Pelodiscus sinensis: one gene and its partners. Each later gene encodes a partner of the first gene's protein in a complex. Links are inferred from orthologs where the notes say so. Each region holds a gene or a part of one and is shown in the gene's direction. Other genes may lie near its edges.

Region 1 (9,696 bases):
GAGTTCATCTCCAGGAGAACCTACTAAGGCTCTGGCTCTGAAATGAGTTGTATGTGGGGAGAATCCTAACTTCAGTGGCTTTCTGAGGATATAGGACTCTGCCAGTATAAAATATTTTCAGAATTGAGGCCCAAATTTATACATAACTAAAGGACAAAATATTAAAATGGTATAAAACAGTGTTGCTCAACCTTTTTTTAAATAAAGTACCCCTTTAAAAAATTATAAGTACCACCTTTTTCAAAAGAAAAAAGTTGTAAGTGACCCCAGTATCTACAGTTTGCAGACACGCAATTTTTTTTCTACCATTGCAACACATTTGTTTAAACAACTTAATTGTAGCTAGGCAGGCGATGAAATTTTTGGGTGTAAAAAGTACAAAAATAATAAAGCACTATAAAACTTCAAATAAAAATTCAGTTTTCTCCAAATTTCGGATGTGTTGACGTTAACGTGTGTATTTAGCAGCATGTTGTACGGATGTGAGACATGGGTGATAACAAAAGATTCTAAGAGAAGGATATTGACGTTCGAGAGGAGTTGTTACAGAAAGATCCTGAGAATAGGATGGATGCAGAAGATCACCAACAAGGAATTATATAGGAAGATACGGCCGAAAGAGAACCTACTGCAGAAGGTTATACAACGGACGTTACAGCTATTTGGGCATATCTGCAGAATGAACAATGAGCGAAAAGTTAAGACCCTGGTATTCGGCATAATGGTTGGTCCAAATAGGAGAGGCAGACCCTACAGAGAGTAGATGATATAGTAGATTGGTGTGGAGCAAGTCTATAGAAACTAAGACACTCCACACTGGACAGGGAAAGATGGAAAGAAATAGTGAGGGAGGCATCAGACACCAACAGGCGCTGAACCCATGGTTGTTGATGGTGATGATGATGATGATTCATTCTTATCTGTGCTGGCCCTTTCAAGGATGAGTAGTGCAAAAAAAAAGTTAAAAGCTTATTATTGTCATCAAAATCAACAAATTTGACATTCAGTTCATATAAGCAACAGATTTGTTGAATAAAGGAGCACCATGTGTACATAATACTTTTGCTGATACCATTTCAAGGTACTGGGCTGGGAATCTACAGACCTGGCAGCCTGATACTTGGTTCATCCATTCTTGAGTTTAGGAGAGAAATGGGAGGACAAAAGTAGCTTTAAGCCATTTTTTTATTCCTTGTATTCTGGGGCCCAGCATAAGTTACGGAAATTTTAAAGTTTGATAGGTTGAGAGCCACTAGAGAAGTGGTTCTCAACTCGTTTCAGTCCACGGACCACCAGGCCAATCAAAAAATTTTGATGGACCACCTCTCTTTTGAGACATGATAAAAAAGAGCAGACAATGAACATTTTGGTTTGAAATTTATTTCTTACTAAGAGATTTTGGGATTCTCTTCTCACTGACAAGCTTTTCAATGTTTAGAGTGGTACTTGATAATGCACAACGAATATCGCTTTCCACTGCAAGCCTTTGTTTGGACTTAACGTGCAACAAAGACAAAAATCCAGTCTCACACATATAAGTTGATGCAAATGGCAAAAGAAATCTGACTGCGTGTGCTGACAGATTTGGGTAACTCCTGGACATGCTGGCCCAAAATTTCTCCATGGTAGATTGCTGGTACACGTCTTGAGCTGCAAAATCATTTCTCAGATCCAAGAATTCCTCCTGTAGATCCTCTGGAACACTAACAACATCTGTTGTAAATGGATTCCTGATGAAAGATAATCCATCCCTTGTTCTGTCCACCTCTGGAAAGTATCATTGGAATTCGTCTCGTAGCTTCTGTAAATGATCGACAATTTGCGTTTGAATGGTTTCCTTTTCCCCGAGCATGGCATCCACATATAGAAATTGAACTAAATTATTGCCTTCCACTTTTACGATCCAGAGTTCCAATTTGTCAAGAAAAGCCTTGATGACGCTTTGGTGAGAGAACAGATCTGCACCTTTCGCTTGCAGCTGAAGATTCAGTTTGTTCAAGATTCCAAAAATATCGACAAGATACGCAAGTTCTAAATTTGACTGCATCAGCACATTTTGGAATTCCTCTTTTCTGTGAGCCTGGAGAAATAAATCCAACTCCTCTCTCAGTTGAAAAACTCTGTTGAGTACGTTCCCTGATGACAACCACCGTACAGAAGTGTAGAGCATCAACACATCAAAGTCGGAACCAGTGTCCAGGCAAAATCTTTTGAACAGCCTGGTGTTCAGAGACGATGATTTGATGTGATTCACCACTTTCACCAACCCTTTGAAAATGGCATTCAGTTATCAGGCAATGTTTTTGATGCCAAAGCTTCCCTATGAATGAAGCAATGAACTCTGGTTACCATTGGAGCACGCTGTTTCACCAGCATTTGGAAGCCCGATCTTGAGCCTAGCGTGGCAGGTACACCATCAGTGGTGACACACACAAGATTTACCCAATCCAGACTATGTACTTCAAAGAAATTATTAACAATTTCCATCACATCCTGAGCCTTTGTGGTGGTATCAAGTGCCTTACAAAAAAGGAACTCGTCTTTGAAGTCTCCCTCAACCATGTATCGTGCGAACACCAATAGCTGAGAGCACAATGTGACATCAGTTGATTCATCCAATTGTATGGCAAACAATGGAGACTTAATTTCATCTACAACTTGTTCACTGATGTTCTGTGATATCTCATTTATCCATCTCGATACTGTGTCCTCAGAGACAGATATATCATTCAGCTTCCTTGCTGCTTCCTCACCAAGGGGAAGCTGCACCATCTCTTTTGCACAGGAGAGCACAAGTTGCTCTACGATGGCATGAGGCTTCTTGGTCTGTGCAACTTTGTATGCAACAATGTAGAAAGCGCGCACTGCATTGCTTGTCTTATTGTAGAATGCACTTGTTGAGCTGAGGCACTGCCATTTCAGACCTGATAACTGCCGCTCAAAATAATCTTCATTCTTTTGCAACAAGGTGGGGTGACACTTTTCGAGATGGAGTTTCAGCTTAGCCGGCTTCATTGAGTCATTCCCCAAGACTTTGAAACAAATAACACATTGTGGCAAATCCGTGCCGCCTTTTTCTTGACAAGTGAAGTCGAATTTGATGTAGTCCTCCAAGTACTTGCACTTGACATTTCTTCCTGTCGTTGCCATTATAAACAAACTACACCACACCTGTAAAACAGCACATGTAGCATAGGACGAACGACACAGCAACCGCTCAGCATGACGGTGGCAGCTACACTGACACTCAGAGCCTCAGACGGAAGTTACTGGCAATACAATGTGGTTGCGTCCTAGGTGACGCTATGGATGACGTGCTGCGTGCTTGTGAACATGGCGTAAAACAGCCTAACAGTGGCGTCTGCTCATGCCGTGTGACTGTGGACAATGTTCCTGTGGACCACTGAAAAAGTCACCATGGACCACCAGTGGTCCATGAACCACCAGTTGAGAACCACAGCCCTAGGGGGAAACCCCTGGTTTACAGAATGTATTTTTAAGAGGCCTTTTCCATCCCATGTAAAGCTCCTTTAGATCAATATAAAGAGATCTTAGGGTGACAGAGAATAAGGCCCTAATCAGATTCTAATCCCAGTTTTATCACATACTTCTGAGGCTATGCCTACACTACAATGATCTATCGGAAAAAGGTACGCAAATTGTGTTTTTTCAGAAGGGGCTTTTCCGAAATTTGGCCCCTCTACACTGGGCAAAATTTCAGAAAAGCCTCTTCCTTTGGAAGAGTCCTTCTTCCTTGTGGGAGGAGGAAGACAGGGCTTCTGAAAGAGCGCATCTGCTCTTCTGCAAAAAAAAGCAGAAGAGCAGACGTGTTCCCTGGATGCGGCAGAGTTTTTCTGGGATACTTCTGGTATCCCAGAAAAACCCTGTGGTGTAGACATAGCCGTGAGTCTCAATCATCCTTTCAGTTGTATATGATAGAATATCCAGCCCAGTGTGTGATCTTGGGCAAGTAATATAATCCCTCTGGCCTACATTGATTTTTGTGTGTGAAAATATTTGGCTGTTTTTCCTACCACCTGTATAATTCCACAGTTGCTAGCAGCAACGGAGGAACTGGTGTAAACTACATTAGAGCTGGAGCAACAGTGGGAGAACATCACAAAAATCTTGGCATAGACATAGCCTTGGTTTCTTCAGCTGAAAAATGAGAAAATATTGTACAAGATTTCTGGCAGTTTTGAGGCTAATTTTATTAATGTTTTAAAATGCTTTCAAAGTCTCCGATGGAGGTCACTAAATCAAAAATAATAATAAGAGGACAAAGAAAAACAAATTTTATTTGAGACAGCACAAGTTCTATACAATGTATTACATGAAGATATACATCTAATTCAGAAGTCTGAGGATATGCTCACTTTTTAACTATCTAGCGCTATATTATTTTGATGATGCTAATGGCAACAGTGGTGTTCATAATTTCCAATCAGAATCAGAGGTCAGTAGGCTTTAATGTGTACATGCAAACCCTACCCTGAGTGTTAACAATGTTTTGAAGTGTGTCAAATCCATCTGTGCCACTGGCTTCCCCTTTGGATTACTCAATCTTATGAGTTAGTAAAATCTAAGGGGGAGGGGGGAAATGGTTTTTAAAAATACCAGCATTTCACTGAAAATTGGATACCGTGCCTCAGATGAGTTTCCTGTCACGTCTGATATCTAATTTAAAAATACTGTAACATTTACAAATAATGTAAAATAAACTAATTTTGTGATTTTTTTAAATTTAGAAATATGAGATCTGGTCTTTCCTGAGTTTGCTGGATGACTGTGTTATTTGTTTTTGTCCATGTGTCTCTTAGATGTTTCTTATGAGGTGAAGGGTAGGCTGAAGTTGTAAAAACAATCTCCTTAGTTTTTCAAACAATCATTATTTATTACTATTACTATAAATACTGTTGCTGTTTGTGTGACAGAAGCACCTTGGCACTCCAGTGCAGAGTGGGGATTCTCTGGGTACTGCACTTGTTCGTACAGTAACAGAGACAGTCTCTGCCCCGAAGAGTTTACAAACAAGGCAGCTGGTGGATGCAGGAGCGGGGGCAAATGCGGGTGGGTTGGGAGGATGAAGGAATAGCAGAGCGAAAGGGGCCTCGCTGCTCTCTCTCCAATCCGCAGGGAGGAAAGAGGAGCTTTGCTACAGGGCCAGGGCCAGCAGCTCCCGGCCCTGCCCGTGTGTAGGCGGGGAGCCCGCACGGAGAACGCCCTGCACCGGCAGCCATGGATGGGCAGGAGCAAGCTCCTAAGGATGACTGCCTCGGTCGGGTGTGTGTCCCCGCCCCCGCCGCTGGAGGAGCCTGGTGGGGCAGCCACACTGGCGAGTGCGAGCTCACGGCTTGCAAACAGCGCTGCTGCAGCTACTGTGCGCGGAGGCACCCGGCCAGCTCCTTGACCAGCGCACCCGCCCACGCACATTTTCTCAAGGCCGCAATCTGGCAAACGCACAATTCTCCACAAATATGGCGGTGCGGGCGGGGCGCGCCAAACTCCCTTGTCAACACCCTTCTCCCTCCCCCCACCATAGGCAGACTGACAGGGTGGCGCCGCAGCCCCTCTCTAGCTACCTGGAGGCCCACCTCTATGATCAGGGGCCTCTGCGAGAGGGTGGGGAGAAGAGGGGCCTGGCTCGCGCGAGGAGACCAGCGCGGCAGTTGAGCGGGCAGGCAGGAGACAAACGGGGCGGGGCCAGGCGGGCTGCTGGAGGGGGAGGGGGCCGCGAGCTCAGACTGGCAGTTAGCGGCGACTCCCCTTTGTGTCTGGTCTGGGAGGCGACGCGCGTGGATCTTCTCCTCCCCTCCGCGCGCTCCTGCTAGCCGCGCCGCTGTGCGGGGGGGCGAGGACGGGAGCAGGCGCCGCCGCGTGAGGGAGCCAGCCTGTGGCAAGGCGCGGGGCTCCGCGGCACCCCATAGCCGCCGGCTGAAGTCCGGAGACGCCTCCCTCCGCGCGGTGGCTGCTCGAGGCGCTGGAGAGCTGCCCGCCGGCGGAGCGAGGGGGCCTCTGTCGCGAGCTGCAGCCTGAGCCGTTGCTGAGCTGGAAGCACCCGGCTGGGCGCCCTCCAGTCCCGAGGGGCCGGGGCTGCGCCCTCGAGCAGGGTGCCTGCAGAGACGGGCCGGGCCACGGCGCCGCCTGTACATGGCAGTGGCGGGGAGGGACCTCGCCTAGTTAAGCGACGCGGAAAGGGCCGAAGGACGACGGCGTCGGTCCGCGGCATGGGGGTGTCCCTCTGACCGCAGCCCTCAGCACTGGCTCTGCGGACCCGGGGCAGGAGAGGTGACAGTTGCTGCCGATTTTTCTCCTTATCCCCCTCCCTGGATATGTTTCATGCGAAACCTGGATGCTTCTTTGATATCGTCAAGTTGCGTGGGAAATAATCTGGGTTTCCGGTGTGACCGCAAGAGTGACTGCTTACCCAGGGGAAGGGAAATGCAGCCTGGCTTGGAAACCAAACCCCCCTTTTCTTATGATCGCTAGAAAGAAGAGGAGCCAGTCCTGAGGCATGAGGACAGATACGTGTAAAGGAGTAAGAGCTCAGACAGCTCCTGTCATCTGCCGTTTGCCCTTCCAGACTGGATTGTGATCCAAGAGCGTTTTAAAGATTGTTTCGAAAGGAGGAATTTCCTCCCTTTTCTGTATTTTTTTTCTTTTTCTTCTGCCTCCTCCTTTCGCTTCCTCAGGTATGAGTGCCTCTCTGCAGCACCTTATGCTGGTGCTCATGCTCTCCAGTGCCACCCTGCTGCTCAGCACTGCGTCTGGTAAGTAGCCACCGGGTGTAATATACTAGCCATTCTGGCATTCGAAAGGGGGTGGGGTCCATCGGTACTTTGATATATCTGTGACCCATTAAAAAGTAGAGTGCCTGTGTGTCACAGTGAAGTATGATAATGTTTTTAAGTGAGGACCTATCATCTTCGAGACTTTCTCATTCACCTGTTTCTTTGTAGAAAGCCCAATTTGCAGTGAAGGTTTATTTTCTCTTGGTCTGTTCATGGTGATAAATGGAATGTGTTCATTTTTTCGGGGTGAGGAAGAATAATTTGGTATGGTGGGTTTTTTCCATGAAATGTTTAACATCTTTGTGAGGTAATGCTGGAATTTTAAAAATACATTGTAATCACAAGCAGAGCTATGTCTGCTTGCTAATGGGGGGTCTTTGGGCACAGCCATTTTTTATTTTACTAACATCAGTGTTATTGGGTAATTATAGCTATAACATTTGCTATATCTTTTAGGGTAATTATATAATGCATATTTCTTCTTGGAGCTTGAAACAAAAATGAAAATTTTTCATCTTCATGAGATTTATAGAATAGTAAAATAAGATGGTGATGAGGAATACTGCAAGATCTGAGCATACATAATGCTAAGCGTTTTATTTACTTACAGTAAGTTAAAGTATAATATTTTTGGAAAATTGCTCTATTTTAAACTTTTTAGAGCTCAGTATTACATGCACAGAGCAATTAGCCGTGAGACTAGAACCCTATGTAGCCCTTGCATCCTTTGGCTTTTGATCATAGTGGCAGATTAGCATGAAGGAGCTCTCTGAAGTGTTACCCAGGTTTATTAGGTGCTAATACTTATTCCTCCCTTTTATATGCTTTTAACAGTTTGTAGAAGATCTTTGGTAGCTTTCTTTCCACTCAGAAGCCAGTGTATAGAATCCTCAGTCTTTTCCAGCATTATTTTATAATGTACTGAGTAAGTCTCAGGTGTAGGATAATAGATAAATGTGAAGTTTCTTGTGAAGCGAGCATAAGAAGATTGATAGTTGGCACAAATCTTTATTTTAATTATCTTGTAATGCATTTTGGTCAGTGGTCAAAATAGTGTCTTTCATAGTAGAATAATACTGTGAATTGGATGTGTTTAGGCAGTTTCTTCATTGATTTACTAAGAATGGACAGTCTTCCATTTTATAAAAGGCCTTCTTTGGGGAAATATTGAACTGAAACAATTGAGATGGAGCACTTTCCTGCATCTGCCTGACTTTTGCCTGACCTTGATATTTTAGATTGACTTTTACCATGTTTCTCTGTGATAATTTGATAAGAGGATTTCTTTGAAGAATAAAACCTTTCAAGGTCAAAAGCTTTGATATTAAAACCTTTATGCATTTAAAATATTCCATTATCTAACCTTTTCCCTTAAATGTGAGAGTTGAAAAATAGTTTTCTTTCTCATTCACTTTGTTAAACTTCTGAGGGTTAATTTTTTTTTTGTGCTGATGAAAAAGATTTAATAGCACTGATCTGAGCCAGGCAGGGGATGGGCAGGTGCCTGCTAGTCTGCTTAGTGAATTTTGCCAATTTCACCTCAATTCTGATCACTGCTACTTTTGTCCTGGGTTTGTCTAGTACAGAGACTGGTCATCATGTCATGTTCTTGTGAAATGCATGAATAGGAACTAATTTTCACATTGTGGCTATATAATACTTTTTCTGTTATTATGTACAATACAAAAGTTCTATGCAGCTTAAAAAGTTGGGCTGACAACAAATGTTCTCCCTCTTTCCCCCACCCCCCACCCACATGTGGAATAAAATTTTGTGTTCCCTGAGGCATGGCCAGGTGTACAGCACCAGTAGAAACACATGCTGCCAGCTGTGGGTAGCTTTTGGTGCTTTGCTAATCAGCTGGGTGATGCCTGAATCTCTCCTGGGTGGCCACCCAAGCACACATCTTACAGAGAACATTGGTCAACTGTGCGTAAGAATTAGAGATGTGAATGGTAAACCCATAAGCCTCAGCTTACTGGTTCCAGTTAATCAGTATGGGCTGAAGCAGCTGCCTGCCTGCCTCCATCCCTCTGGTCAGAGCAGTACATGTCTGTAGTGGGCCTCCTTGGGCCACGCTGCTGCAGGCAGGGGCTGCTCTGGCTGGCCACAGCACCTGCCCCTGGTTAATTGGTTAAACGGTTAAACTTAATGTCTAATAGATTAACTAATTAAATGGGATTGTATATTCCTACTAAGAATATTCTAATGGTTTGAGATTTAGCTAACCCCCCCCCTTCCGCCCACAAAATGGAGAACGTCTGCCCTCATAGGAGTGGGGAACCTTTTTTGGGTTGCACACAAGTGAGATGCAAAAAACCCCAAACAAATCCTCATTGATGTGGCCCTCCTCGACTGAGAAGGAGAAAGACACTCTCCACATTCACCTCGCACACTAGAGCCTACGGGGGTTCAGCCTAGTAGATTTTGTGTGCTCCAGCTCCATGGTCGGACAGTAGGGAACTGGAGCACCAGCGTGAGCTCCCCAGTGCTGGGGGAGGGCTCTGAACCTCAGGGGCTGGATCCAAGCAAGCCAGGGGCCGCATCTGGCCCCGGACCTGAGGTTCCCCGCCCCTGCCTTATATGTATGTGAATGACCCCATGCACTTGCCCAAAAGTAAAATCTGTGCATTTTACATCTAAGTGCTTAATTTTGGCCCTGTGCAGCTTTGAAATCCTTTATTAACACCAAGCTACCGTATTTTAGCTAATATAACCCACGGGTTATATTTGTTTTTACAAACCCTGCACACACACCCCCACCCTCCCGCGGGGTATACTCGGGTGCGGGGTATACAACATTTTTTTTACACACCAGCTCACCTCCCAGTTCCTCCACAGCCGTAGGGAGGGGCAGGAGGAGCACTCCCCTGCCCGGTTGCTGCGCAGCCTCCGGACGGTGAGC
Region 2 (10,385 bases), on another chromosome or scaffold:
GAAGGTCAGAATTATCATTTAAATACTGTTCAATGAGCCGGGCAACATATGCTGAGGAGACATTGTTCCCTGTTCCCGTTGTGATCTTAAGCCTAGAAAGACGCTTGAGCTGTCATTAGCTCTACTTTACTACGCATCGCTATAATTCTGTGCTTTTTGGCTTGTCACATAACACATCTCTGGCAAGCACTCTGGAAGGGAATTTACAGTATCATTAATAATAAAAAATTTCGTTTGCACTATACATTACATGGCATTTTTACAGCCACTCAGGATAGATTCAAATGCCACCCAGCCAATTAGCAGAGCCCCCACAGATAGGTTTTTGTGCCTGCTGGTGATGCACATCCACACATGCCTCAGTGCACATAAAATGTATTACACACAGAGATGGACAAAATCCATACATGGACGGAAAAGATTAGAAGGAACATTGTAAGCAACCCCATGGCTCTGATGCAAGTCCCCTTGAGGCCAATGGGTTTCTTTCTGTGGATTTCAGTGGGAGTGGGGTAAGGCCCTATGTTCACAGCTGATTTGCTTTAATCCCGAAATAACTACCTGTTAAATAAACATGGCCGAAGAGCGGTGCTTTTTTGAGCGCTCTTGAGTGCTAATTGAAATGATCTTTCTGTTTTTATGCTACTCCCTCACCTGAATCTGCCTAAGGGGCCTTACTGTGTTTTGGGCAGGTTATCAGGTTAGCTACCAATAATAAAAAAGGTACCACCAGCCACTGGGCCAGGCTGCTACCAGTCCATCCCAGGTTTGTCTGCATCTAAGACTGGCATGCCCAGTAAAGAGTTCTTTCCTGCAAAACTGCCTACCTGCCACATCACTTATTGTTCCAACAAGCACACTGTTTATGCAATAAAGTTAATAAAATTCTTCACACAACACATCGTCAACCCATGGAACTCCTTGCCAGAGGTTGTGAAGTCCAAGGCTATAACAGGGTTAAAAAAAAAGCTAGATAAATTAATGAAGGACAGATCCATCAATGGCCATTAGCCGGAATGGACAGGAATGGTGTCTCTAGCCTCTGTTTGCCAGAAGCAGAGAATGGGTGACAGTGGGTGGATCACTTTTTCTGTTTATTCTAGGGATGGGGAACTTAAGGCCTGGGGGCTGAATGAGGCCCCCGGTTTGTCTGGATCTGGCTGCTGCAACTCAGGGCTCCCCCCCCCCAGCATTGGGGAGACCTCGCTGTGGCTCCAGTCCTCTGCTGTCTCCCTGCAGGGCTGGAGCACACAAAGTCTACTGGGCTGCTCCCCCTAGGCTCTGGTATGTGCGGGGAACGTAGGGAGCGTCTTTCTCCTCAGCCGGGGGCCACATCACTGAGGTTTGGTTGGGTTTGGTTTTTTGTTTTTCTTTTAAACTGGACAGGTTACTGGGCTTGATGGACCTTTGGTCTGGCCCTATATGGCTGTTCTTCTGTTCTAATAACAATAGGAAGGATCAGGAATATTGCCTCTCCAGCTAGCATAGGTTTCTGCGTTTTGTTCAAAGGAAAAAAACCATGTCATTCTTGTAAATGAATTTTAGAGGAAAAATTAACTAACATTTCTAGGTCTACAATTCAGCCTTTTAATTCGGCAAGAAGGCTGCATGGTTTAAATTCTTCATCCTCCAAAGCAAAGGAAACAGGAAACTGCTTTTACACCAGATGTCATCTAGTGGTACTGTACATCTGGCAACCCACCAACAGCTGTACAGAGGCTAAGCCATGTGAGCTAAGACATTCAGCAGTAGGCTGTGTTGCTTACATGAGGTGTTCAACAAGTTCTCAAACAAGAAAGGAAACACGAAGAAATTTACAATGGTTGAGCTGTAATTCTGCTTGTAACAAGGTACTGGCACATTTGTAGCTTTCAGAGACATGTGTCAGATTCCCACATGTGCTCCAGCCTTTACTTAGGCAACGGTGTCTGCTGGCTGCAGAATGTGCCAGTCATTGTAAAGCTTTGTGATTTTATAGCCAAACTAGCAGACTTACCCAGTGTCGCCCAGGCCCTTGAAGGTAGGGCTTTGGTGATGTGGAGGGGAGGGTGTGCAGGATGCAGTAGACAGAGGGGGGCAATAGTGAGGGTTGTTCCTTCCCCCCAGTCTGCCCTAGCCTACCAGGGGCTGTTCTCTCCCTGCCAAGGCTCTCCCATCTGCCTCCAGGGGGCCTGTTCTCCAACTTCACATGCAAGAATGATAGAAACGTGTCCCTGGTCTCTGTCTGTCAGAGGCTGGAGAGGGATGGCAGGAGACAAATCGCTTGATCATTGTCTTCGGTCCACCCTCTCTGGGGCACCTGGTGCTGGCCACTGTCGGCAGACAGGCTACTGGGCTAGATGGACCTTTGGTCTGACCCAGTACAGCCATTCTCATGTTCTTATGATAAATGCACAAAAATAGTATATAAACATTCAGCAGACTGTCTATTAAAACTGATAGATTATATGAGGCATATATATATGTCTAAAGCATCTTCATAATATGCATATTCATATTCATAAGCCAATATTCATTAAGTTTGGGAGGGGCACGACAGCACTAATTTGTAACTTTCTTAATCTCCGTTTCATTATGGATGTAAGGTCACCTCCCCAGTGCTGCATGGCCAAGAGATGAATCATTCAAAAAAGGAAGGTTGCGAGTCCACTTTTTTGAATAAATAGCAATCAGTGGGATTCAGATCCAAAATCTCACAAAGTTTTTGGCTGTTCAGCGTCACAAAACCACAAGCTCATAGACTCATAGATAGCCATGCAATTCAGATCCTGCTCTGAATGCTCCTTCAAGGTTCAGGATCAGCTGCTTCTGAGTGGACCTATGTGTAACAATAAAAATGAGGAAAAACTTAAAAAACAACAAATAGTCTGGTAGCACTTTAAAGACTAACAAAATATGTAGATGGTATCATGAGCTTTTGTGGTCATGTCCCATTCCTTCAGATGACCAGAGCATTGGATGTCAATTAGGGTATGTCTAGACTACATGGCTCCGTTGACGGAGCCATGTAGATTTGTTTTTTTGGCAAAGGCAAATGAAGCCGCGATTTAAATAATCGTGGCTTCATTTAAATTTACATGGCTGCCACGCTGAGACGACAAACAGCTGATCAGCTGTTTGTCCGCTCAGCGCGCTAGTCTGGACGCTCCCCTGCCGACATCAAAGCCCTTTGTCGGCAGCCCCGGTAAACCTCATCCCACGAGGAATAACGGGGCTGCCGACAAAGGGCTTTGATGTCGGCAGGGCAGCGTCCAGACTAGCGCACTGAGCGGACAAACAGCTGATTAGCTGTTTGTCGGCTCAGCGCGGCAGCCATGTAAATTTAAATGAAGCCGCGATCATTTAAATCAAGGCTTCATTTGCCTTTGCCTACAACCCTAATCTACATGGCTCCATCGATGGAGCCATGTAGTCTAGACACAGCCTTAGGTTGGTCATTTAGGCCTGGTCTACATTAAAGGAGAAAGTCAACTTCAGATATGCAACTCCAGCTATGTTAATTATGTAGCAGGAATCAAAATATCTTAAATTGCATTTTGGCACCATTCACACGCAGGAGGTCAACAGCAGCACATGCTCCCTTCGACTTCCCTTACTCCTCGTAGGAGCAGGACTACCGGCACCGATGGGAGTGCCCTCTCAGTTCGAATTAGCAGATCTTCACTACACTCGCTAATTCAAACCCCGGAAGATCGACTGAGGCAGCCACAGTCTTCTCTGTAGTGTAGACAAGCCCTTACTGTGTTAAACTGCCGTGGTAAAAAGGCAAGCTGTTTGAGAGGAGAGTTTCTGAATGAAGCAAAATAGCAAAGGGACACACAAATATATGGCTCGGTGCTCTTAATGAACAGTGCTCTCTGTGAATATAATCTGAATAAATACAATTATCCTTGTTCAAAATTGCATCGTGAAGTGAGCTAGAGTTGTTTCCCTTGTGCCAAGATGGCAGTTGACCTATTTGAGAAGAAACAGCATCTGGACAGTCACAATAAATAGATGTACCAAATGGACAGGATGTGCTCAGTCCTAACTGAGGAGTGGAATTGTCCAAGGCATGTCTACACAGAAGCATTATTTCTGAATAACTGATGTTATTTCGAAATAAGAAAATGAGTGTCTATACAGCAAGCCGTTATTTCGAAATAATGTCAAGCTGGAGGGCTTCTTACTACAACTCCTGTAACTCTCATTTCACGAGGAGTAAGGGAAGCGGAAGGAAGAGTGCTCTTCCTTCGACTTCCTGCTTTATAGACAGTGCGTAAAGCCGAATTAAGCTATTTTGGTTTCAGCTACACAATTGACATAGCTGAAGTTACGTATCTTAATTTGACTTTTGCCCTGCTGTGTAGACGTGCCCCAACAGAGCTTTGCTATTTCAGTCAAACCATGCGCTCTTTAGTTCTTGCAGATATACCTCACAATGAAGTCAGACACCTTCTGCTACTAACAAAGAGATTCTCCTTTGCATCAAAGGGTGGAAGGCTGGGTGTTTGGCTCAAAAGGCATGCGTTCTAATTTTCCTGTCACAGGGAAGTTCCCTGTGAACACTGGGCCAGAACAGAGACAGATATGGTCACAATTTTCAACTTACATGGTTGCTTTGGTTTTACTCATTTGTCTGCAGTCCTCAAACTTTTTGGAAATTTCAAAAATCTGACCATCCCCACACCCCAGCCCAGAATTTGTTTTTTCCGGAAACACACTGAACATTTTCCATGAAAACTGTGCTGTGGTTTTCAACCCGATCTGCTCATAACATCCTGCCCCTGAGCCACGGCGCGTTGATGTGGCCAGAAGTAATGCTGGTGTCTCTGCAGCAGACTAGAGGTCCCTTGAAGTTTAGTTTCATGCCAGTTACAGCAAAGCTCTCTGGCGGGGGATGGTATGACGGCAGCATATGGAACAGAGCTTGAGTGAATGTAACCTGCCATGCCAGACACATAAGAGGCGTGGGAGAAAGGCGGCATTTTAGGAGCCAGTTGCAATTGTTTCAGTGCTCCCTGCTGAGTTTGTTTCTACACATTTCTGTGGAGCCCGTCCCCAGAACAGCAGGTGTTCAATGGGAACCTGTGGTTTCTAGAGAGAATAACTAGCTAAAATATCTGATATTAGGAAATCTGATATTAGAAATGGCAATATACAAAATTATCACAAATCTGATATTAGGAATGGCAACATACAAAAACCTGTAGGGGAACACTTCAATCTTTCTGGACACACAATTGCAGATCTAAAAGTAGCCATCCTGCAGCAAAAAAACTTCAGGACCAGACTTCAAAGAGAAAAACTGCTGAGCTACAGTTCATCTTTAAGTTTGACACAATCAACTCTGGATTAAACAAAGACTGTGAATGGCTTGCTAACTACAAAAGCAGCTTCTGCTCTCTTGGAATTCACACCTCCAGATCAGCTGCTAGAAGTGGGCCTCATCCTCCTTGATTGGATCCACCTGGTCATCTCCAGCCTGATCCTGGCCTGCATATTTATTCCTGCCTCTGGAAATTTCCACTACATGCATCTGATGAAGTGGGTCTTTGCCCACGAAAGCTTATGCTCCTACACTTCAGTTAGTCTATAAGGTGCCACAGGACTCCTCGTCGCTTTTGCAGATTCAGACTAACACGGCTACCCCTCTGATACTTAGCTAAAATAAACACCACTAAAAACATTTGCTAATTGCCTTCTATTTGTACAGGACAAGCTGGTGGTGGCAGCCCAGGGGCAAAATGGAGAACCAGGAACAGCTCTGTTGGCCATGCCCAACCTCATCCCTGCCTGCGTTTCTCCTGTTCCCAAAGCCCCTTTCCACAAGGAAGCCCTGCATGACACACCAGCCCAGATGCAAGGAGCGCAAACTCTCTGCTTCCTACTGCTTGATAGAATCACACCAGTTTCACTGCATTTAGCACCTCCCGTGGTGTTTAGATTGTTTGTTATTTATATTATCAGGGTGCCTAGGAGCCACAGGCATGACTCCCATTGTGCAGGTGCGTACAAACAGAACAAAAGGATGGGCCCTGCCTCAAAGCGCTTTTCAGCCAAGTAAAGACTTTCCTTGGGCTGGAGAGTTTACTAACTCTTAATATTGAAGGAGGCTTTTGTTTACTGTTGGTACAGAATACAAAATCCTAGACGTAGGCTCTGTGTCATTTGCATGTTTGCCTGAAAGCATAACAAAGTTGCATGGATAAAACTTGGCCATACATGCCAAAGAAAGTCAGCTCCAAGGGAGAAAGAAAGGGCAGATCCTGTCCAAGGAGAAAATTGTCGTATCTCAATATGTCCAAGTGCAGAATGTTTACAAAATGCTCATTAAGGGAAAGGGGGTTTGTGAGATAGCAACAGAAAATCTGGTGGACAGCTTACACTGCAAGAGATAAGAGAGGCAAGGCTACCATAGGCGAGCGTGTGTTATATCCAATTACTGAGACCTGGTTTTGGAGGGTGTGTGGGGAGGCGGGAGAGAGAGTGAGGACTGATCACAAGTTTCAGGCAAGGGCTTCCAAACTTGTCAAGTCTGTGACACAAGCTGCGCACAAACCAGGGGATAAAATAGCCACTTAGCGCACACAAGAGCTAAACCTTGGTGAGTGCGGCTGGACGCTAACGCGAAGGAATGGATACTGTTGCCATTCAGTTGTGGGCAACCCTCTCTCTGCTGGTGCACCTTGCTGCTTGCAGCCCCATCATGAGCCTGGAGCAGTCGTCCCTGGAAGAAGATGTGCCCCTCTTTGATGAACTCCTTTCAGAGCAGGAAGGTGTCGATTTCAACACGCTGCTTCAGAACATGAAAAATGAGTTCCTGAAGACGCTGAACCTTTCTGACATTCCCCTGCATGAAAAGTCTAAGGTGGAGCCCCCAGAGTACATGTTAGAGCTGTACAACAGGTTTGCCACTGACAGGACCTCAATGCCATCGGCAAATATTGTTAGAAGCTTCAAAAATGAAGGTAAGATCCATGCTCCTCTGTGAACGAAGAATAACTGGGCATTGCTCAGAACCGACAAGGCACTTCTTCCCAATGTGTGGAGCAAGACGACTTAATTGGGGAGAAAAGGAGTTGACAGTGATTAGATAGAGATGCAACTGGAGCTAGGGAACTAGCATGGCCTGTGTCTATAATGAACAGCTCACATTGCTTGTCTGATGTAATCTCGCCCTCCTTATTTTATATCCTTGAGCCAGTGAGCGTTCTGGGGCAGGAGCAATGTCTTCCTTTGTGTTTGTGTATTGTGGGTGTATTTATTTATAAATAAATTGTCATAGTTCCAGGAAGCATATGCATCATTTATATGTTACCTTCATACGCATCCGATTTTTAAATGGAGATGGCAACTTATCTTCCTTATTTGATTAATGAGAAAAGGCCTCTTTCACCACCCATGCAATAGTACAAATTCTCATTTGGAAAGCCAAATTTCTTCATGGATTCCCAACCAAACAACAAATGGCTTTCTGGAAATATTTTCCCAATTTAGTTCCTCAATTATTGTGTAAAATAAGGTCAGTAGAATATATAGAAATGTGTGCGGCTAGCATCTCTCTATAACAACTTTTGCCTCACCATTTATTTTTGAGAGAATAAAATTTGTAGTGATTAGACAGGGATGCATGCCTTTTTTCAAAAAAGGTAACTAAAATTTTATAGAATTATGAGTTTAGACTGTTACGAATATTGCGCAATTCAACATTTTCCTGAAATTTCTACACAATTCGGGGAATAAAAAGCTCTCATGCTATTACTGATTCTTCATGCATGAGTACCAATATGGAATATGGGTTGAAAAGGCTTTTCAGAAAATCATTATGTCCCAAAGTAGCAGTCTCAATTTTACTGATGAAGTTCACAACTACAAGATAACAGAGCAAAGACTGAGCCTATGTAACCTAAATTTGACAACTCAGTTTTAGATTCTATAACTGCTTGTGGGCTAATCTATACCTTGCTCAGACGCATGCATTCTTATCAAGCTACATGTTTCTGGTTTTAAAAGGCTCCGCTTTACAGTTCAAATCCACTTTAACTTTGCATTTCTTCTACATATAGACAGCATTTAATTCATTGAGGGCTGCACTGAAAGTGACTTATGCATACTGAAGACCTCAGGGCAATTTGTGTGTAGAGAAGGGATTCACAATCTGGCCCTGAAGGAATATGGAATAATGATTCTGACACTTACAATTTTAAGATGAAAAGTAATAGGAAAACTAATGGACTGTAATTGGGAAAGCAGAGTATACTGAGTGGAGAATGCTATGTGTTTTACTAGTGTACATATGCAGTAATTCCATTAGTTACAATAGAATCATTCCAGATTTATATTGCTACTTAGAGGATTTGCCCACTGTTGCTCAAGTCCTTAACTGAAATAATTTTAAAAACAACAAGCAGTCCTATGGCACCTTAGAGACTAACAAATATAGAATATTATGAGCTTTTGTGGGTAAAACCCACGTCATCAGATGAACTAATTTTTCTTCATTTGATTCATTGCTCTCGGGAGGGGGGGGGGGTCAGTGTGCAGGCTGCCCTGGGGAGAGAGGATAACCCCAGCCCTCTGTCACCACAGCAGCTTGGGGCCAGGGAGAAGTGCCTGTTCATGGAAACTGCTGGGGGAGGGGTGCATATCTCCCAGCTGGGCAACACACAGACAGACAGACACACACACAAACTCTCTCAAATATATAATAGATACTATCCTTTTCTCCACCCCGTGCACTGCTGCCCCAATAGGATTATAACTGTCCCATTCCCCATCTCTGGCCCCTTGCTGTCCCCCTGTGGTCATTATACACTATAACTGTCCCTCTTAGCAGACCCCTCCCTTTCTGTTTTGTGGGAAACACTCACATTCCAGGCACATCCCATTGTCTTGGCACAACCAAACCCTGACCTTGCTTTAAGTTTTGATAAGAGGAAGCTGCCTACCAAATTTGGTGTTCCTAGCTCTTACTGTTTAGGAGGAGTTCTTGAACAAACAGACTCACAGATGGACAGAGAAACACAGACACACAAACTCTCTCAAATATATAGTAGATTGATGACATCAGAATCCATCCTTCATTTTTAGTAAATGGAACAATGCAAAGATCCATTAATTTTCATAAACACAACAGTTTCCAAGCAGCGTGTTCATCACCACAAAGTCTGCAATGGCAATGTCAAATGCAGAGTAACTTACTACCTTCTCAGAAGGTTCCTGTCCTTTCTTCTAGTCCACAACTTCAGAAATAAATTCAGATACTTGTATTCTAATGCAAATGCTCTCCATAGGCACATGTATACCACAGAGGGTCTATTTCAATTGTCTCTGCTTTGTATGTCTAAAAAGTCATTAACAATTAGGGAACCTGGATTATATGGCACATGAGTAAACTAAAGTGCTTGCATTTATTACTGATAAAAGAGATGGAACAGATCACACCGTGCAATGTTTATACTCATCAGCTTGTGGTAGTAGATGATGATAATGGAAATTGCATGGTTGAAAGCAGTAGAACTTGATGACAGTTGTTCATTAGCGGTTTTAGCTCATGGAGTTGTCTGGCTCTGTTGCAGCTTGGATTGTAATGTGGTCGTTGCTTAAAAACTGAAATAAAGCTTTCTGGGCTAATTTGTCCTCCTTCAGACACCAGTGTGTCCTCATTGACACCAATGAGGATGTACAGGAAATAGTGAAGAGTATTTGACCCTTTGAGTTTTCTTGCTCAGTCTGTCTTGTGGGCAGTTGCCAGTTCTGATTTATTTTTCTCCCTAATCAGGAAGCGAGACACCCAGTTTCCCACAAGAGTGTGTCTCTATCCCTTCCAATGATTGATTCATGTCCATTTTCTGTGACTTTTCCCCACCCCAAGACCATATGTATCATCATAACAGTGGACTTGTTCTCCAGCAGCCTGGGGGTGGAGGTGGGCGATAGGGCTGAGGGGCTGTAGATCACTGAGTTCTGGTGCCACTTCCAGTTGTGAAGTGGGACACATTCACTAGACAGACAGCCTATGGATTTACAAACATCAACAAATTCCAAAGACCGATTAAAGTCAATTATTCATGTGCTGATGTGCTTCGCTAGCTCAGGGCCAATATTTGTAGCTTCGTCAACCAAATGTTTCCATAAATGTATCAATCCCAGAGTCATAGAAATCTGAGATGGGAAAATGTACAGGATCCATGCAGTCCATCCCCTCAGCTCCTGTCAGCATGTCCGCTAAGTCTCTATTTCCCAACCTGGTTTCAGAGTCATTATTGAATGAAATGTAGCAATAAATACAAAGCATTTTGTTAAATTGCCCATATGTATGAAGAAATGCAGATGGGGCATGTATAAACATGATGGATAAATAGATAGATGATCATTTGTTTGTTATACATCTGATTCATTAA
Region 3 (10,473 bases), about 49 Mb from region 1:
TGCAGGTGAATGCCAAAACCACAGGGATGAGTCTCTCTGACCAGAAATTCCACTATAGGAGGTGAAAGACCTATTGGGTGAAGATTTTGTCCAAATGGATACATTTCCTTGAAAAATCAATGAGGAGTCTGGTGGCACTTTAAAGATTAACAGATTTATTAGGGTATTTGTTAGTCTTTAAAGTGTCACTGGACTTTTTGTTGTTTTTGCTGAAACAGACTAACACAGCTATCTCTCTAAAACCTTTCCCTGAAAAGTTTCAGTTTCGATTAATTGACATTAAAAAAAAAAAGTTGAACTGAAAAATTCCAGATCATCTCTTTCTTTAATCACAAGAGTACCCTTCTTCCTTATAAAGTCTCAGAGGGATAGCTGGGTTAGTTTAACTTTAAAAAGAATAGTCCTGTGGCACCTTAGAGTATGTCTTCACTGGGTATGGTATGTCTAGGGTATGTCTAAAGTCGAGTTAAGATATGCAACTTCAGCTACGTTAATTGCGTAGCTGAAGACGAAGGAGCTTAACTCAGTTTTTGATGCTGTCTATACAGCAAGAAGTCGAAGGAAGAACACTCTCCCTTCGACTTCCCTTTCTTCCCATGAAATGAGCGTTACACAAGTTGGAGTAAGAAGCCCTTTATTTTGAAATAACGGGCTTGCTGTATAGACAGCAATAACATGGGTTATTTCAAAATAAGCATGCAGTGAAGACATGGCCTTAGAGACTAACAGAGATAAAGAATGGGCAAAACCCACTTCTTCAGATGAGCTTGAGTGGGGAAAAGTTCATCTGAAGAAGTGGGTTTTGTCCACGAAAGCTCATGATACTACACACTCACATATGTTTGTTCGTCTCTAAGGTGCCAAAGGACTATTCCTTCCTTATAGTTTAAAACATTAATAGTGTGTAGTAGGTAAATATGTTGCCAGTTTTACAGACAAAAAAAAAAAAACAAAAAAACCTTGAAGCATTTCTAATGATTATGCTAAACTGTTGATATAGCCTCTCCATACCACCTATTCAAAAACATTAGCATTTGTATTTGTAATATGAAGTGCAAAGGAGAAGATCAAGTTATTGACTGTAATAGTTAAGAATATGTTAAGAGCAAAACATTCCCAAATCCCCCAGAAACAGACTATGGAATTAAAACAAATGACTTGCAGTTCTCAGAACCTGCTGGAGGGGTAAGCTGTCCATGCAGTTATTTGTAACAGCATTATGGGAACCCCAATATCCAGCCCTCTTTTTGCTGGCAAGGGATAGGGTGTTCAGATGTGATTTAATGTTTTTGTCAGCTGAGCAGACTCAGTGCTGGGCAGAGATTAGCCCAGATTGTGACAGGGAGGGCAACTACACTTGACCCAATTACCTCATGACACATACCTGGCATTTGTTGTATCTCTGGCAAAGTGACAACAAAGCTCCTTTGGTGGAGGAAAAAATTTGCTCTGTGCTGTGCTGCTTCGTCCCAGCCTTTAAATATTAGATGGCTTCTTCTCCGCCATGGGGAAGGCTTGAAAGAGGCTCCCTACTGTGCAGACCCCAGGTCTCTCAAATGGATCACTCACGTTGAGAGACCACGTCTGCAAAGTGGGGGTGGACTTGCCTCCTCTGTATTGCAGTTTCGACCTCTGCAAAAAATACCGGCGGGCCTTTTGGCTGAAGGGCGCTAATTGGCCGAGGGAAGGATGGTGGCCTGCGCGCAAGACGCTAATTAACTGAAAGGTAACACTTACTCCGGGCTGCTGTGTGTAATCCTCACCCTCTGCATCCTCGCTGCCTTGGGCCAGCTGGCCCGTTTCCAGCCGCGAGCGATAGGCGGCGCCCTTTCCCCAGCCTTCCTGCGCCGGAGGCTGCCGCCTACCCCATAGGCTGGAGGTGCCTGCAACGTGCCCGGCAGCAGCGCGTCTTGAACCTGCTCCGCCGAGTGAGCCCCGCGCGGCAGCCAGCGGGGGAAAGCACCTGCCCGGCCCGGCACAGGTGAGCGAGCCCTGGCGGATGCGCTAGGATCGCACCTTCCCAGGTGAGCTGTGGAGTTGTGCTGGGGTGTGTGCGCTGCAGCTGGCTGCTGTGTTGCCCAGGTGGGGAGTTGTGTGCTGGGGTGTGTGCGCTGCAGCTGGCTGCTGTGTTGCCCAGGTGTGGAGTTGTGTGCTAGGGTGTGTGTGCGGCAGCTGGCTGCTGTGTTGCCTAGGAGTGGAGTTGTGTGCTGGGGTGTGTGTGCGGCAGCTGGCTGCTGTGTTGCCCAGGTGTGGAGTTGTGTGCTGGGGTGTGTGTGCTGCAGCTGGCTGCTGTGTTGCCTAGGAGTGGAGTTGTGTGCTGGGGTGTGTGTGCGGCAGCTGGCTGCTGTGTTGCCCAGGTGGGGAGTTGTGTGCTGGGGTGTGTGTGCTGCAGCTGGCTGCTGTGTTGCCCACGTGGGGAGTTGTGTGCTGGGGTGTGTGTGCGGCAGCTGGCTGCTGTGTTGCCCAGGTGGGGAGTTGTGTGCTGGGGTGTGTGTGCGGCAGCTGGCTGCTGTGTTGCCCAGGTGGGGAGTTGTGTGCTGGGGTGTGTGCGCTGCAGCTGGCTGCTGTGTTGCCCAGGTGGGGAGTTGTGTGCTGGGGTGTGTGCGCTGCAGCTGGCTGCTGTGTTGCCCAGGTGTGGAGTTGTGTGCTGGGGTGTGTGCGCTGCAGCTGGCTGCTGTGTTGCCTAGGAGTGGAGTTGTGTGCTGGGGTGTGTGTGCGGCAGCTGGCTGCTGTGTTGCCCAGGTGTGGAGTTGTGTGCTGGGGTGTGTGTGCTGCAGCTGGCTGCTGTGTTGCCTAGGAGTGGAGTTGTGTGCTGGGGTGTGTGTGCGGCAGCTGGCTGCTGTGTTGCCCAGGTGGGGAGTTGTGTGCTGGGGTGTGTGTGCGGCAGCTGGCTGCTGTGTTGCCCAGGTGGGGAGTTGTGTGCTGGGGTGTGTGTGCGGCAGCTGGCTGCTGTGTTGCCCAGGTGGGGAGTTGTGTGCTGGGGTGTGTGTGCGGCAGCTGGCTGCTGTGTTGTCCAGGTGGGGAGTTGTGTGCTGGGGTGTGTGTGTGGCAGCTGGCTGCTGTGTTGCCCAGGTGTGGAGTTGTGTGCTGGGGTGTGTGCGGCAGCTGGCTGCTGTGTTGTCCAGGTGGGGAGTTGTGTGCTGGGGTGTGTGTGCGGCAGCTGGCTGCTGTGTTGCCCAGGTGTGGAGTTGTGCTGGGGTGTGTGTGCGGCAGCTGGCTGCTGTGTTGCCCAGGTGGGGAGTTGTGTGCTAGGGTGTGTGTGTGGCAGCTGGCTGCTGTGTTGCCCAGGTGGGGAGTTGTGCTGGGGTGTGTGTGCTGCAGCTGGCTGCTGTGTTGTCCAGGTGGGGAGTTGTGTGCTGGAGTGTGTGCGCTGCAGCTGGCTGCTGTGTTGCCCAGGTGTGGAGTTGTGTGCTGGGGTGTGTGTGCGGCAGCTGGCTGCTGTTACCCAGGTGGAGTTGTGTGCTGGTGTGTTACCCTGGTGTGGGGGCTGTACTGTGTGCTGCGGTGTGTGCGCTGCAGACTGCTGGCTGGTGTGTTACCCAGCTGTGGAGCTGTGCTGTGCTGGTGGATAGTGTGTTCCCCTGGTGTGGTGTTGAGCTGTGTGCTGCGTTAGCCAGGTGTAGAGTTGTGGTGTGTATGCTGCAGTTGCTCTGGTGCGTTACCCAGGTATGAAGTTGTGCAGTGCGGTGCGTGCCGCAGCTGACTGGTGGGTGCAGTTACCCAGGTGTGGAGCTGTGTTGTGCCAGGGCAGCGGAGCAGGGAGCCTAGCTCCGCTGTGCCCTCAGGGTGTATGTTGTGTTACTTTTCCTGGGTGGCGGTTCGGGGCTGTGTGGGGGAGCTTGCCGCGGGCCGGGTGGGGCGGGCTGGGGGTTCGCGGTCGGGGGCGGCGAGGCGTGCGCTTGGCGAGGGGCCGGCTCCCGGAGCGGTCGCCGGGGGTTACCGGGATCCCTTGAGGAGCCAGAGGAGAGACCCTCCCGCTGCTGCTCCCCCCCCGCCCCGAGCCTGCGGGTCGGGCGCCTCTCTGCGCCTGGCAGCCAGCCCGGTGCCAGCCTCGCTCTCCCCTCCTGCCGCCGGTGCGTGCCCAAAGCTGCTTCTGTTTCCCCTCCGGCCTCTCCCCCGGAGCAGCACCCGCGCCGTGTGGCGGACGCTTGCCCCGCGGGGCTCCAGGCGCCCTAGGCTGGGGACTGACCCCAGCCCCCCACTTCTCCGGAGGTCCCGGCGAGCCGGAGGCGGCTTTGACTCCAGCCCCTGTGCTATGGGGCGGGGTGTGTGGGGAGGAGGGGACCGGCCCCGTTAGCCCCAGCGCAGGGTTAATCTCCGCGCCGGGCGGTGCGCGCCGCGCTCCCCACGTGGTGCTCACGCCGGTATAAAAGTTTCCGTAGAAAGTGGCCCCATGTCGTGTGGTTTTGCAGGGCGGGGGGAAGGAGCAGGCGGAGACCAGCGGCCGATAAGCGAGGAGCCCGCCGCTTCCCCCCAGCGGCCGGGAGCCCGCCCAGCCCGCCCCGCTGCAGCCGGCGTGGAGCCCGAGGGCAGCCCGCGGCGAGGGAGCCGCGCTCGCCATGAGGACGCGGGCGCGCCAGCGAGCGGAGGCGCAGCGCTGAGCCGGCGGATCGGCGGGGCGCTAGAGCGGTGCCCCCGGGGCAGCCTGGCAGGACGCTAGAGCCCAGCCCGGCCCGTGTGCGGGTCTGATGCCGCCGCTCGGCGCTGGCTCCAGGGCGCGCTAGAGACTCGCCGGCGCCAGGGGAGCTGCCCGGAGCCCTGCACCCAGCGCCCGCGGGGTGGCTCGGCCGGGCGGGGTGCGGGGCAGCCCTTGGATTGCACCTCCGCCGGCCGGCCCCCATGACGCCGGACTGAGAGCTCGGCCCCAGCTCGGCGGGACCCGCAGGACTGAGAGCCTCCGCTACCGGACAGGCCCCCGCCCGGCTCGGCTCGGCTCGCCCCGGGGATGCCCGCTTGGGAGTGAGCCGGGCGCAGGAGTGGCTCCGTCTGCTCCACCCCTGCCCGCGGGGAAGCGGCTGGCCCCTGCCTACAGACTCCCGTCTCCCCGGCCCTAGCCCCCTGCCTGCTTCGTCCACACCTGGGGGCTGCTTCTCCCTCGAACCGGGCTCCCTCGCTATCTTCTTCCCCCAGCCTCGCACCCCTCCAGCGTTGGGCTCGCCTGGCACCCCTCTGCCCAGCCTCGTGGACCCCCCAGCTGGGCTCGCCTGGCACCCCTCTGCCCAGCCTCGTGGACCCCCCAGCTGGGCTCACCTGGCACCCCTCTGCCCAGCCTCGTGGACCCCCCCCAGCTGGGCTCGCCTGGCACCCCTCTGCCCAGCCTTGTGGACCCCCCCAGCTGGGCTCGCCTGGCACCCCTCTGCCCAGCCTTGTGGACCCCCCCAGCTGGGCTCGCCTGGCACCCCTCTGCCCAGCCTCGTGGACCCCCCCAGCTGGGCTCGCCTGGCACCCTTCTGCCCAGCCTCGTGGACCCCCCCAGCTGGGCTCGCCTGGCACCCCTCTGCCCAGCCTTGTGGACCCCCCCCCAGCTGGGCTCGCCTGGCACCCCTCTGCCCAGCCTCGTGGACCCCCCCAGCTGGGCTCGCCTGGCACCCCTCTGCCCAGCCTTGTGGACCCCCCCAGCTGGGCTCGCCTGGCACCCCTCTGCCCAGCCTTGTGGACCCCCCCAGCTGGGCTCGCCTGGCACCCCTCTGCCCAGCCTTGTGGACCCCCCCAGCTGGGCTCGCCTGGCACCCCTCTGCCCAGCCTTGTGGACCCCCCCAGCTGGGCTCGCCTGGCACCCCTCTGCCCAGCCTTGTGGACCCTCCCGCTGGGCTCGCCTGGCACCCCTCTGCCCAGCCTCGTGTCCCCCCCCCCCTGGGGCTCGCCTGGCACCCCTCTGCCCAGCCTCGTGTCCCCCCCCCCTGGGGCTCGCCTGGCACCCCTCTGCCCAGCCTCGTGTCCCCCCCCCCCCCGGGGCTCGCCTGGCACCCCTCTGCCCAGCCTGCTGTCCCTAGTTTAGACCGTAGCGCCCTGCTCCTCCCATTTTGGCTCCCGCCCTCCCCCCCAGCTTGGCGGCCCCCGCCCCCCTGCCCCGGGCGCTGCTGCCCCGGAGCGGCCTGAGCGGAGCGGCTGGCGGCCGGGACTGAGCCCCGCTGCAGCGCCCGGTGCCCGCCATGGACGGGGCGGCGTGGAGCGGGCTGCTGGCCGCGCTGGTGACCTGTTGGCTGGCGCTGGGCGCCGAGGGCTCCCCGACGCCTCCGCCCGCCGCGGGGAGCGCGCCCCAGGACAGCTGCACGTCCTGCGGGTTCCGGCGGCCCGAGGAGCCGGGCAAGGTGGACGGGGATTTCCTGGAGGCGGTGAAGCGGCACATCCTGAGCCGGCTGCAGATGCGGGAGCGGCCCAACATCACGCACGCGGTGCCCAAGGCGGCCATGGTCACAGCGCTGCGCAAGCTGCACGCCGGCAAGGTGCGGGAGGACGGCCGCGTGGAGATCCCCAGCCTGGACGGGCAGGCCAGCGCCGGGCCCCCGCCGCACGAGCAGGTGTCCGAGATCATCAGCTTCGCCGAGACAGGTGGGCGCCGCGTCCCCCGTCCCGCGCGGCCCCTGCCCCCTCCGCACGACCGCGTCCAGTGTGTCCCCTGCCACCCGCCCGGGGGACCGGCCTCCCCTCCCTGTCACCGCGTCCAGTGTGTCCCCTGCCACCCGCCCGGGGGACCGGCCTCCCCTCCCTGTCACCGCGTCCAGTGTGTCCCCTGCCACCCGCCCGGGGGACCGGCCTCCCCTCCCTGTCACCGCGTCCAGTCTGTCCCCTGCCACCCGCCGGGCGGGACCGGCCTCCCCTCCCTGTCACCGCGTCCAGTCTGTCCCCTGCCACCCGCCGGGCGGGACCGGCCTCCCCTCCCTGTCACCCCTTCCAGTCTGTCCCCTGCCACCCGCCCGGCGGGACCGGCCTCCCCTCCCTGTCACCCCTTCCAGTCTGTCCCCTGCCACCCGCCCGGCGGGACCGGCCTCCCCTCCCTGTCACCCCTTCCAGTCTGTCCCCTGCCACCTGCCCTGGCCTCCCCTGCGTGCCACCCCTGCCACATCTGTCCCCTGCCACTCGCCCCGGTGGGACTGGCCTCCCCTCCCTGTCACCCTTTCCATGTCTGTCCCATGCCACCTGCCCCACCTGCCCTGCCCCAGCCACCCCTTCCACGTCTGCCCCATGCCAACTGCCCCAGCCTCCCCTCCGTACCACCTCTGCCGCCCGCTCCGGCGGTACCAGCCTCCCCTCCATGTCACTCCTGCCATGTCTGTCCCATGCCACCTGCCCCGGCCTCTCCTCTGTACCACCCCTGCCACCCACCCCGGCGGTACTGGCCTCCCTTCCCTGTCACCCCTGCCACATCTGCCCCATGCCACCCACCCCGGCAGTACCGGCCTCCCCTCCCTGTCACCCTTTCCACCTCTGCTCCATGCCACCTGCCCCAGCCTCCCCTCTGTGCCACCCCTTCCACATCTGCCCCAGGCCACTCGCCCCAGCTGTACTGGCTTCCCCTTCGTACCACTCCTTCCACATCTGCCTCAATCCGTACCAGCCTTCCTTCCATGCCATCCCGTCCACGTCCAAACCAGCCTCCCTTCCGTGTCACCCCTTCCACCAGTGACCGCATGCCAACCACCCCTGCTTGTACCCCTGCCTCAGTCCGTATCCTCCTCCCCTCCATGGCACCTCTTCCATGTCTGCTCCATGCCACCCATCCCCACCTCGGTCCATACCAGCCTCCCCTCCGTGTCGCTCCTCCCATGTCTGCCCCATGCCACCCACCAACGCCTCGGTCTGCACCAGCCTCCCCTCAGGGCCATCGCCTTCCACTGTCTGCTCCATGCCAGCCACCCCTGCACAGCCCGTACGTGCCCTGGTCTGTACCAGACTCTGTTACTCCTTCCACCTGTCGTCCCCATGCCAGCCACCCGGCCATCTGTCCATGCCACCCCTCCCCCTCCCCCACCAGCCATTAGTCCCAGTCACCCTCCACATCACCCCTATTCCATTCGCCCCTCTGCCACCTCCTTCCATGAATCCTTCCCGACCCTGGCACATCCTCCATCCAACTGTCCCAGTCACCCTCCACTTCATCCACCCCGTGTCCGCCGCCCCCCTGCCTCACCCACCCACCCACCTGTCTGTCCATCCCAGCTGCCCCCCTGCCTCACCCGCCCCCCTGCCTCACCTCCCAGGTATCCCACCCACCTGTCTGTCCATCCCAGCCGCCCCCTGCCTCACCCACCCACCTGTCTGTCCATCCCAGCCGCCCCCTGCCTCACCCACCCACCTGTCTGTCCATCCCAGCTGCCCCCCTGCCTCAGCCATCCCTCCTGCCTCACCTCCCAGGTGTCCCACCCACCTGTCTGTCCATCCCAGCCGCCCCCCTGCCTCACCCCCCCCCCCCCGCCTCACCTCCCAGGTGTCCCACCCACCTGTCTGTCCATCCCAGCCGCCCCCCTGCCTCACCCACCCTCCTGCCTCACCGCCCAGGTGTCCCACCCACCCACCCACCTGTCTGTCCATCCATCTCCGCCAGTCACCCCTCTGCTTCACCCATCCCTTTCTATGCCACCCAGCCACCCATTGTATATGTCCATTCCAGACCCCCCTCTGCTTCATGCACTTCTCCAACCATCCGCCCACTGTGTGCCAGCCACCCCCTCACACCTGTCCATCCGTCCCAGCCAGCCCCCCCCTCTGCATCATCCATCTGCCCACCGACCCTGTGCAAGCCACCCCTTCTCTTTCGCTCTCCAGTCTGTCCACATCCCCCACCAAGCCGCCCCCCCCCCACAGCTCTGCTTCTCCCACCCACCCATCCATCCATCCGCCCCAGGTCAGCCACCCTTCTGCTTCACGTCCCATCTGCCCACCCCCCAGCCAATCGTCCGCCTCACTGAGCCGTCCGTCTACTCCGTGCCAGCCACCCCTCCACACCTGTCCATCTGTCCCATTGCAGCTGCCCCTTTCCTTCCACCTCTGGTCTGTCCACATCATGCCCCACCAATCCATCCTTCCGGCCCCCTGCCCCACGCACACGTCCAGTACCCTCCTCCATCCGCCCGCCCCAGGCCTACCATCCTTCCGCTTCCTCCACCCGTCGGTCCACCCTCCAGCCAATTGTCTGTCTCGCTGATCTGTCCATCCACACCATGCCATCCATCCCTCTGCTTCATCCAGCCACTTCTCTCTACACCTTCCAGCTAGCCACCTGCCCACCCTGGCCATACCTCTGCTTCTCCCACTCCTCTGTCTACCCCATGCCAACCACCCCTCTGCTTCACTCCTCTATCCCGCCAGCCTGCCCAGGCCTGTCTCATCCACTCATCCATCCATCCAACCCAGGTGAGACACATCCCTGCTTCCCCACTGATCCATCCACCTCTGTTTCACCCACCCTCCTGTCTGCCCCATGCCAGCTACACCTCTGCTTCAGCCAGCCAGCTGGCCATCCCACATCAGCCAGTCCTCTGCCTCCCCCACTCATCTGTCCATCCAGGCTAGCTGCCCACGCACCCATTCAAAGCACAGCAACCACCCCTCTGCCTCACCACCCATCCATCTCTGTCCCAGTCAGCCAACTCTCTCATCTGCCCACCTCCTCTCTTCTCCTCTCATCTCTGTCCATCTGTCTCAGCCACCCCATGTGAACCACTCCTTAGTGTACCCCTCTCTCCATCCCCCCCCTCTGTTTCAGCCTTCCATTGACCTGCCCCACAACAGCCACTGCATCCCTTCCACCCCTCTGCCCCGTCCATTCATCTATCCACCCAGCCATGGCCGGCTACCTTCAGCTTCTGCCATCTGTCCATCCATGCATCCTCTCCTCTACTTCTCCATCCATTTGTCCATCCCATCCCATGCCAGCCACCCCTCTGCTTCACCCATCTGTCCATCCTTCCATCTCTTCATGCCAGATGCTGCATCCATCTACTCCATGGCAGATAACTCTCTGCTTCACCCATCCATTCACCCCTCTGCTTCTAACATCCATCCTATGGTAGCCACCCATCTGCTTCACCCCCCCACACCTGTCCATGTCTCCATCTACACCTCTGCTTCACCCATCCCACCATGCTGGTTGCTCCTCTTCTTCACCTAGTCATTCATCCCAAACAGCCACTCCTCTGCTTTGCCCACCTGTCCATCCGCCCATCCGTCCATGCTAAATCATTCCACTCACACCTCCTATGCCATCCGCTCGCACTGTGCCATCCACCCTTTGCTACACCATACCGTCTGGACACCCCATGTCATCCATCCGCCTGTTACAATATTCTGTCCGCCCACCCCATGGTATCCACCTCTCTGCTACATCATCACATCTGCCGTCCCAAGACCATCCATCCCTCTAGTACACCATTGCATCCACTCCTCTACCAAGCGGTTACATCCATCTGTATATCTGTCCAGCCTCTTCTCCCCATCTCACATGCCATTCAGCCCCTTCTGCTACCTCATTTC

Evidence for each region.
Region 2: the proteins of BMPR2 (region 1) and BMP10 are in contact, whole or in part, in a crystal structure (PDB 7PPA), measured with the Homo sapiens proteins. The link is inferred for Pelodiscus sinensis from reciprocal best matches to the Homo sapiens genes BMPR2 and BMP10. Residues at the interface, in NP_001195.2 of Homo sapiens: Asp38, Ser64, Tyr67, Leu69, Lys81, Cys84, Trp85, Ser86, Ile88, Gly89, Asp90, Pro91, Gln92, Glu93, Thr103, Thr104, Pro105, Pro106, Ile108, Tyr113, Phe115; in NP_055297.1 of Homo sapiens: Tyr329, Lys333, Asp338, Ser339, Trp340, Ile342, Ala343, Pro344, Pro345, Gly346, Tyr347, Glu348, Glu395, Pro396, Ile397, Ser398, Ile399, Leu400, Leu402, Val407, Tyr409, Phe411, Ala417.
Region 3: the proteins of BMPR2 (region 1) and INHBB are in contact, whole or in part, in a crystal structure (PDB 7U5O), measured with the Homo sapiens proteins. The link is inferred for Pelodiscus sinensis from reciprocal best matches to the Homo sapiens genes BMPR2 and INHBB. Residues at the interface, in NP_001195.2 of Homo sapiens: Tyr40, Tyr67, Leu69, Val80, Lys81, Trp85, Ser86, His87, Ile88, Gly89, Asp90, Gln92, Ile108, Gln109, Tyr113, Phe115; in NP_002184.2 of Homo sapiens: Phe309, Asn318, Asp319, Ile322, Ala323, Pro324, Gly326, Tyr327, Tyr328, Thr379, Met380, Ser381, Met382, Leu383, Phe385, Asp386, Asn390, Ile391, Val392, Lys393, Asp395, Ile400.

What each region holds. Positions count from the first base shown.
Region 1 is NC_134717.1:56,224,439-56,234,134, reverse strand, and holds the start of BMPR2 (bone morphogenetic protein receptor type-2), read left to right. Parts: upstream 1-5,572; 5' UTR 5,573-6,694; coding exon 6,695-6,770; intron 6,771-9,696. UniProt on the Homo sapiens protein: On ligand binding, forms a receptor complex consisting of two type II and two type I transmembrane serine/threonine kinases.
Region 2 is NC_134738.1:906,403-916,787, reverse strand, and holds the start of BMP10 (bone morphogenetic protein 10), read left to right. Parts: upstream 1-6,336; 5' UTR 6,337-6,616; coding exon 6,617-6,950; intron 6,951-10,385. UniProt on the Homo sapiens protein: Required for maintaining the proliferative activity of embryonic cardiomyocytes by preventing premature activation of the negative cell cycle regulator CDKN1C/p57KIP and maintaining the required expression levels of cardiogenic factors such as MEF2C and NKX2-5.
Region 3 is NC_134717.1:6,953,765-6,964,237, forward strand, and holds the start of INHBB (inhibin beta B chain), read left to right. Parts: upstream 1-6,005; 5' UTR 6,006-6,152; coding exon 6,153-6,552; intron 6,553-10,473. UniProt on the Homo sapiens protein: Inhibins and activins inhibit and activate, respectively, the secretion of follitropin by the pituitary gland.